Drosophila melanogaster: one gene and its partner. The protein of the gene in region 1 interacts with the protein of each later gene in a pairwise test. Each region holds a gene or a part of one and is shown on either strand. Other genes may lie near its edges.

Evidence for each region.
Region 2: the proteins of CG1092 (region 1) and CG8187 interact in a two-hybrid assay, tested with the Drosophila melanogaster proteins (one large-scale study listed by BioGRID).

Annotation. Positions count from the first base shown.
Region 1 is NT_033777.3:4,264,798-4,268,967, forward strand, and holds CG1092 (uncharacterized protein), read left to right. Parts: upstream 1-1,972; 5' UTR 1,973-2,176; coding exon 2,177-2,408; intron 2,409-2,463; coding exon 2,464-3,416; 3' UTR 3,417-3,519; downstream 3,520-4,170.
Region 2 is NT_033778.4:15,538,760-15,543,001, reverse strand, and holds CG8187 (uncharacterized protein), read left to right. Parts: upstream 1-1,638; 5' UTR 1,639-1,729; coding exon 1,730-2,302; intron 2,303-2,361; coding exon 2,362-2,545; intron 2,546-2,598; coding exon 2,599-2,972; 3' UTR 2,973-3,064; coding exon of another isoform or gene 3,065-3,424; 3' UTR 3,425-3,448; downstream 3,449-4,242. Other genes in the region: eIF2Bgamma (eukaryotic translation initiation factor 2B subunit gamma), read right to left, coding at 1-44, 98-248; Vha36-1 (vacuolar H[+] ATPase 36kD subunit 1), read right to left, coding at 725-1,465; CG30467 (uncharacterized protein), read right to left, coding at 3,065-3,424, 3,483-4,242.

The DNA of each region.
Region 1 (4,170 bases):
GATATTCAAAAACACATAACAATATTGGAATAACTTATGTAGAACCAAACATAATTTTAACTTGGAAATTATCAAAAATTGTATTAAATCAAAACTGTATAATTAATAGAGAAATTATAATAGAAGGAGACAATATAATAAAAGCTTTTAATTGTTCTGTTCAAATAGAAAACATATTAATTACAAGCACAACACTAGACTACACACAAACGGTCTATATCAATAACAATGTAACAAAATTAGAACCATTATCATATCTAAATGCTAAAGAAATAATTAAAGAACACACTAATACATACAACACATTACAAATTATTACATTAACTATACTTGCTATTATAATACTTACACTTATACTATATTTTATTTATAAATATAAAGGCATTCCCAAAAAACTAATTGTTAAATATAAAAAAGAGAATCCACAACAAATAGAACAACAAAATAACACAACAACAGAAAATATAAATACAGTATTTGATACTAATCCTGTATTGTATCCTAGAATATCCGCCTGAGGACAGGCTAAATTTAAAGGATGGGGAAGTAGCATATGTGCCATAGTATAAGACCACATATACTTACACACACACATACATAACCACATAGGAACAGCCATACACAAAATCATAGAATGCCTTAGGATATAAGTCATAAAATCATGTATCCAATAAGAACCCAAATTCTGGTGACAATAACAAATCCAGCCTACCCTAATGTAAACATTAACATCCGCTGCCGAATCAGTTATTCCCACCAAAGGGTCAAAACCGCTTACGCAGCTCAAGTTCTCGGCTGATCAGTACCCATGAGTGATCCACTCAAGAAGGCACCCAATCCAACAGACATAAACATCCGCAGCCGCATTCGCGACTCCCACCAGAGGGTCAAAACTGCTAACACAGCTTTAAGGGTCAAAACTTTCCACGTAGCTCAAACTCGGCTGATCTATATCCATGCGCAATCCACTCAAGAGAGCGCCTAATTAACGTAAACATAAATGAGAGCCTATGTACGCTCAATATGAAGAAGTAAATAAGCTCAGCCAAGGGTTTGCTAAGCGTTCGCTTTGCAAATTAGATTTAGATTTTATTCATACTTCAATTGTGTAAGACGTGAATTTGTCTCCGACATTCGCTTAAGTTTTTGATCAATAAAAATACTTTTTTTTTATAAACCAACAAATATAATATAATATATGTATATTATGTATGTATATGTATATTTAAATCATTCCTTTCATAAGCAACTGCACACTGTTGTCTACGCTTAGTCAGATATAACTCGTAATACTTGTGAAACGATGCAAAGCCCATATTCCAGAATAGCGCGATCGTAAAAACAGTGGGAGAGAAATTTTCCTGATAGGACTTGACATTCTTATCGCTTCGGAAATATAATTAAGCATAGGAACTCACTCACTGAATTAAAATAAGACCTCGAATTGAGCAATGCACTGTGGTGCGAGTGTAATAAGATCATATATAAATCCGTTCTAATAATTCAACAATATAAAAACAACAAACAACCCGAGAACTTTCGGGTGTTTTTGCATTTTCAAGTAAAAATGATAAAATAGGAATGTGAGCGTTTAATTGGTTTTTAGACCGTTTATATGTGCGCGATAAAATAAAAAAGGTAAAACGGTAAAGATTGATTATTGTGATTTTGGAGAACTGTTTGTAACTGTCTGCAACAAAACGTTCTTCTAAAGTCCGGATAAATTTTTGGTTAAACACGTTGAAGAAGCATAAGTTGAAAATGTTGAAAACACACCATAAAAACATATACTGAGTTGCACTAATAGGGCATTTTTCAATACTATCTATGCTTTTCAAACGTTCATTATGATAAAAATAAATTATGTCAATGTCAGCCCACAATCATTTAATTATTGTCCACTTGGACAGAAAATCTTTTTAAATATTGTCAAAAGTAATAAAAAAGTTTTTACTAAAAATTGAAACATTCAATAAGTTATTTTAGTTATTTAATACCAGGGGATACGGAGTTTTGTGCTTACATTTCAATTGAAGTTAAATAGTTTCGTTGCCCAGTGATAGACGTATTTGAAAAGTGACTCTCTCTCGAACTACTGTGCAACGAAATCCGACATCCGTTGAGGGGTCCGATAGGCTGGCGCAAAAGCTGGGTTGCCAGTGACTTGAGCTCTGCGATGACAACCTCAAGTCTTGCAATCGGCGCATCCGTAGCGCTTATTCTGTTGATGTTGACTGGTTCAGGGCATTGCCAAGTGGGATACGTGCGGCACCTGTCGGAGCTGCGGATAAGGGAACTTGAAAAATTGTCGGTTCGTATACAGGGCTCCATCAACACCGAAAAGTATGCCTGCGAGAGCTATTTCGACTACGTCTGTAGCCGCAATCGACCCCTCTTTTCGATCATGGGTAAGTGAGGAAAGCCTGTGTTGGGGGAGTGCCTAATGCATATACCCTATCCAAGGACACATGCCGCAAATGGGCGATCTTATGCAGTTGCTGACCGAGCTGCAGAACGATCCAGAGCCATTCGAGGCTAAGCAGAAGACGCTGGACTTCTTCATCTCCTGCAACGTGCACCACGCGCTGGAAGACTGCTATCGTGAGACCTATGAGTATTTCAAGCCACTTTTCGGGTATATAGTTACAAAAAACATGCTCAATGGAGAATCCCACGAGCTGGATGACTTTCTGGGCATTTTGGACCGCTTCGTCGTCAGGTTTCAGAAGGACAGAGAGTCGAATCCCATTCTCAGCAAGCTGGCCACGTATAAGCAGAAATTTAAAACGCCGCGAGTCTACTTCCATGCTAGAGACCTGAGCCGGGAGTACAAGGACCTGCGGATCTACCGGGAGAGCTACGAACACAACGTTCGCAATCTGGAGCAGCACAGAAAACTGAATTCAACATACGAATTGGGGGTTCAGCGCACCATGCTGGATTGGAGCATGTACCTCTTTCAGAGCCGCAACAAGCCCATGTCCTACTTCTACTCCACGTTTACGGTCCATTTGTACATGATGCTTTTTAATAGTCTGGAGCGTCAGCGTGATTTCACGCGGTTTCGCGAAGATGTGGAGTGTTTAAGGCTGCCGCAGTTCGTTAATGTTCTGGATGAGGCCAGAATGCTGGCTGTGATCTACTTAAAGAGCTTCCGAGCGGCCTGGATAGACTACAGCGCCTGGATCAACTCGCCTCCACAGAACAGTGGGATATACGATCAGGAAAATGGCGTCCTTCAAAAGTACCATCTTGACAACAAGCGTATATTTTTTACTCTTTACGCTCAGAACTTCTGTGAGTTTGGGAAGGATCTGGCCGAGCATGTCTTCTATCTGGGCCTTAAACAGAACAAGGACTTTTACGACATATACTCTTGTGGATTCCAAACGGAAAACCCTATGACTTGTGTTTAAAAGATCAAGACCATTTCTACCATATATTTAGTTTACGAGATACAATAAAAGCAATAACATTCTCATAAAGGTGTACAAACCATTTGAAAAAAATGGCTTTCACTAAAAAACAAGCGAAGTTAAGATACCCAAATATCAGATACCCGTTACTCAGCTAGTGAAAGAGCAAACGAGAAATTTCTTCCATATCGATTGAAGTTGGGAAAAAAATAAAAAAAAGAAATATATAATAAAAAATTTTGAAAGCGTGGGTCATGCATACGGGCGGCTTGTGGCCAAAAACTGAAATGTAAAACAAGAGAGAATGCTTAAGTCGAGTTGCACGACTATCAGATACCCGTTACTCAGCTAGTGCGAATGCGAACGCGAAATTTCATAATTTTTCTGGGATATCGATAGATGGGGAATAAAATGAAAAACAAATTAAAAATGGCTTAAAAGTGTGGGCGTGACCGGTTTGGAAGCTTAAGGTCGTTAGAGTGGACGTGAAAAAAATTGTTTGGCTAACCGATAGAATATTACAAGACTTATAAAATTATGAAAAAAATGTAAACATTTTGCAATAGTGTGGGCGTGGCAGTTTTGGGCGGTTTTAGGGCGTTAGAGTGGGCGTGGCAAATTTTTTTGGCAAATCGATAGAAATTTACAAGTCTAATAAAATTATAAAAACATATCAAAACATTTTTCAAAATATGGGTCAACAAACTTGCGCTGCCTCTATGTCTTAAGAATCTGTATGCTTAATCTCAACCTT
Region 2 (4,242 bases), on another chromosome or scaffold:
TTGGATCTCTAGTTTTTCTTGCTCCAGTACCACAACAATGACCTCTGAAATATTTTTCAATTAAATCCAGGTTTTTAATTCAGACTATCCGAATTACCTGTAAAGTTGTGTTGTTGCAGCAGATTTAAGGGATACCAAATCAGAGGATATGGACCCACCGGCAGCAGGCATTTGGGGGCATCCCCCAAGACCTCGGGTAGACGAGTGCCACGCCCAGCGGCAAAAACTACGGCCTGGAACTCGGTCATTGTTTCACAAAAATATAAATAATTTCGGCTAAAAAGCGTGCAAGCACAAAAAGAGCCACGCAAACAGCTGATCCAATGCAAGCGAAACACCTACGAGCGCTGTCCAACACTGCTTCCAATCAGACATATGTTTGCTGTCATGTGACTGTGCAATTGTTTTTGTTGCTTTTGCTATTGTATAAAACAAGTCAGATGACCCTTTTTGCAATGAAAATTCCCTTTTTCCACTTAATTATTACACAGAATGCACATCGTATGATACAACAAGACTTTAATGCATGATTTGCGCAGCTTACACTACACTACAAAAATGGAATACATACTTTTCTGCTTATTGGAATAGTCTACACACTTTTGCTACATAGGTACAATTAAGTTTGTGGCTTGCCCTTTGCGAATTACAATATGGAAACGGATACAGAACAGAAAATAGTTTAACAATAATATTGCTGGAATAAACACATCCAAGGTAATACTTAGAACAGCACGTCGTCATCGCCCTCATCCAGGATATTGGCCTGCTGGCGCACATCGATGCCCTGCTGCAGCAACTCCGCCTTCTTGGCGTCGGCCTTGATGCGTGCCTCGCGCTTCTTGTCCTGGATCTTCTTCAGTCGGTAGAACTCCTCACGCTCGAGCTCGTCCAGCTCCGAGATGATGTAGGCCAAAGTCCTATCGATTCGGGGGATGATCACATGCTCAATGGCGTTCACACGACGGTTGGTGATCTTGATCACCTCGTCCAGGGTGACGAATGAGGTCTGCAGCGAGGCCAGCTCCACGAGCAGTTTAACGGCGCTTTGGTAGTTCTTCTTCAGCTTGGCCAGCTGCTGACCACCACGGGCTAGACCGGCCAGTTCGTAGGTGTCGGATCCGTCCTGGTAGGACTCGAAAACGGGCAGAGTGACACCAGCCACGTTGTCCTTCTTGGTGCGGATCTTGATCTGGGCCTTGGTCACGTTTTGCAGCACCACTTGGTTGATGTCGCCAGACGTGAATTTGGCCTCCGCCAGCGAGAAGGCTGCCTCTTTCATAACATCACCCATCAGGGTCTTGGTCTCGATGATCTTGCCCAGAATCAAACGGAATCGCATCTGCAGGGCATCCGCCTTCTTCTTGAGCAGACCGTGACCTTTCTGGGCTCCAGCCAGACGGGCCTTCATCAACATCTGGGCACCACGGGACGGGAAAATCGGTAGCCTATCTTTTCCGGACATTTTGCTGTTTTTTTCGGATGGTAATTGGCTGGACTAAACAATTTTCAACTGCGTATCAAGAAAACTGCAACCGTCGCAGAACACTGAAAAACTCCAACTGGAAAATGACGGATGACAGTGTTGGCTACTGCCCGTAGCCAATCGATAACCAGTTGGTGCTGGGTAGTGCGCTTAGATACAGTACTGCAAAATACGCAGCCACAGCTGATTTTGCATTTAAAAGTAAACAAATCTAATAAATTCCATTTCTTTATTGGATTTATAATGCTTCTGCAACGCGTGTGGTTGACACATTTAAACAACCATCTACGCCAATACGCGAACAAGTCGCGAGCCCACATCAAACCAGCCATGGCCGTGAGCATGCGGATGGTCCATCAGGAGATCCTGCATTATGTAAACCCCTTTGCCAGGATCAACGTGAAGTCCGATGTTTTCCTGCGCATCCAGCCCGCGGATGTGCATCAGTATACCAGCGGGGATGTGTTTATCGCCCAACTGGTTGGCGGCCATGTCAAGAACTCGAATGTCTCTCTCGATGTGAAGGTAACCGATGAGGACAAGGTGGTCAATGTGGTGGTTAAACAACTGGCGGAGCAGCCCTCAAAGCTTGAATGCCATCTGCAAATACCTGTGCGTTCCGATGTCTCTGTGGACGCAAAAGGTAGTGTGCGAGTGGAAGGCATACAGAGTGAACTGCTGCAAGTCAAAGCAAAGGAAGGCATCCTTACCAAAAATATCAAGGCCACCCATATAAACTTGTACAGTGAAAATGGCAACATCAATTGCCAGGGCACATTGCTGGGCAAGATTACCCAAATAGAGTCACAAAATGGGGTGAGAAAAAATTTACTATCAATCTGATCTTATTATTAACCTTTATATTTCTTTTTTAGAACATTGCGATGGATAAGTTGCAAGGAGACAGCTTGAATTGTTCCACCAAAGCTGGCAGTATTGTAACCGATTGTTGTTATGTGGAAAAGTCAAAGTTTCAGACACAAACTGGGCGTCTGGAGCTCAAGAATGTCCACAAAAGCAGCGAAGTGCACGTCCATCAGTCGTCGGATCTCAATATGAGTATGCGAAACAACGAAGAATAACACCATCATGCTAAAAACTTTCAATTTCAGCTGGAGTACATGGCAATATTCAAATAACTACCAAAGGAGGAAATTTAAATGTCCAACTCTCTGAGCTAGTGGGGAGCAACAAAATCGACGCCGAGAACTTATTAGAAGAGGCTATCATACACATTTCCCAAGCCATAGAGCAGAATCTTCACATCGAGGTAACAGCCCCCGAAGTGAAATTGGAAAACGAACTGGAGCATGTAGCCCATGCTCTCAACGAGAGCAAGAACAAATTCGTGCTAAGCAATCCAAATACAAATCGACTGGAAGTAAGCAGCACAGGCGACAAGGGCGTGCGCCTGGGAAAACAGTCATGGAGCGATATGATGCGTAATAAGTTGAAGGCTACCGGCACCTTGGACGATTTACCTTAGGTAAAGACAGAGACTAACTAAGTTAAGAATATATTGTGCTGCAAGCTACAATCTCAGTCATTTTTGCTTTATCCATCATGGAGGCATGTTGTTTAGGCTTGGCCCGACTCCTTAGCCACTTTATCCTTTAAGCATTCAAGTGCCCTTGAGAAAATGGCTTCTTCCTTTCCGGCTTTGAGTGCAGACACAAACAGTTGCACCTTTTCATCGCCAATCTCTTGGAGATCCGAGTTTTCCGCTTTTATCACCATACATGCCAACAGGCGCAGCAACTTCAAGGCGTTCTCCACATACTGCTCCTTTGGAGCGTCATCCTCCTCCTCTTCGTCCTCTTCGAACTCATTGGCGTCGGGATCACTTCCCCCCGTGTAGTTGTCAATGTGCTGTTTAAGTCTATACCACAATTCCAAAAGATTTAAGAAGGCCTCCTTGTGATAGAAGTACTTCAGGCGCTGCAAAAATAAATATTTAAATAGAACGTCGAATATTAAGTATCTTTTCCAAACTTACACTCCAAATGTGCGCCAGATCCTCGAGATACTCCTCCTGGCGTTCGCCTAATGGAATGAGTTGCAGAGGCTGCTGCAAAAACTGCAGTATTCGCGCTAGACAACTGACTATACTGGGTGCATACACATCCATGGAGGCCTGCGCCTCTGGCAGTTGGACCAGAATGGTGCATATATTGAGGTAGGTTTGTATGATCTCCACATCACAGGTTATTTTTGGTCCGCACGAGTCGTAACCGACGTCGGCATCTTCATCACTGTCGTGGGCCGCTGGCACTTCTGCATCTTCGTTGTCCTCGCCAGCTTCCTCGTCGGTCAATTTTGTCTGATCATCGCGCATGAGTCGCAAAAACGCGCTATTGACCCCCTCGCAGAGTTCTGGCACTAGAAAGACCTCCGCAAAAGGCTTTAGATTCAACGTGGAGTTTGCGTTTTCCTCCTCCACCAAGGCGCAACTGGCCAGCACAGCATTTGTGGCCTTCAGTGCAGCTACTAGCAGTTCATCGCTAACGGACAGTTGCAATATCCTGCCCAGGTTCTGCGCGGAGTTCTCAAAGGCAGCAAAGCAGATGTACCAGTTCACAGCGAACTTCTCCTTGCCGCTAAGCACATGGGCCATGATGTACTGAAAGAGTCGCATCAGCTGTATCAACATGGCGGTGTCCATGCAGTATGTCATCTTGAACAGGGTTTCCAACGTGTAGCGGTCACAGGCCAATATCTCTGCGCACTCCACCTGGGCGCACATATTGCCCAGCAGT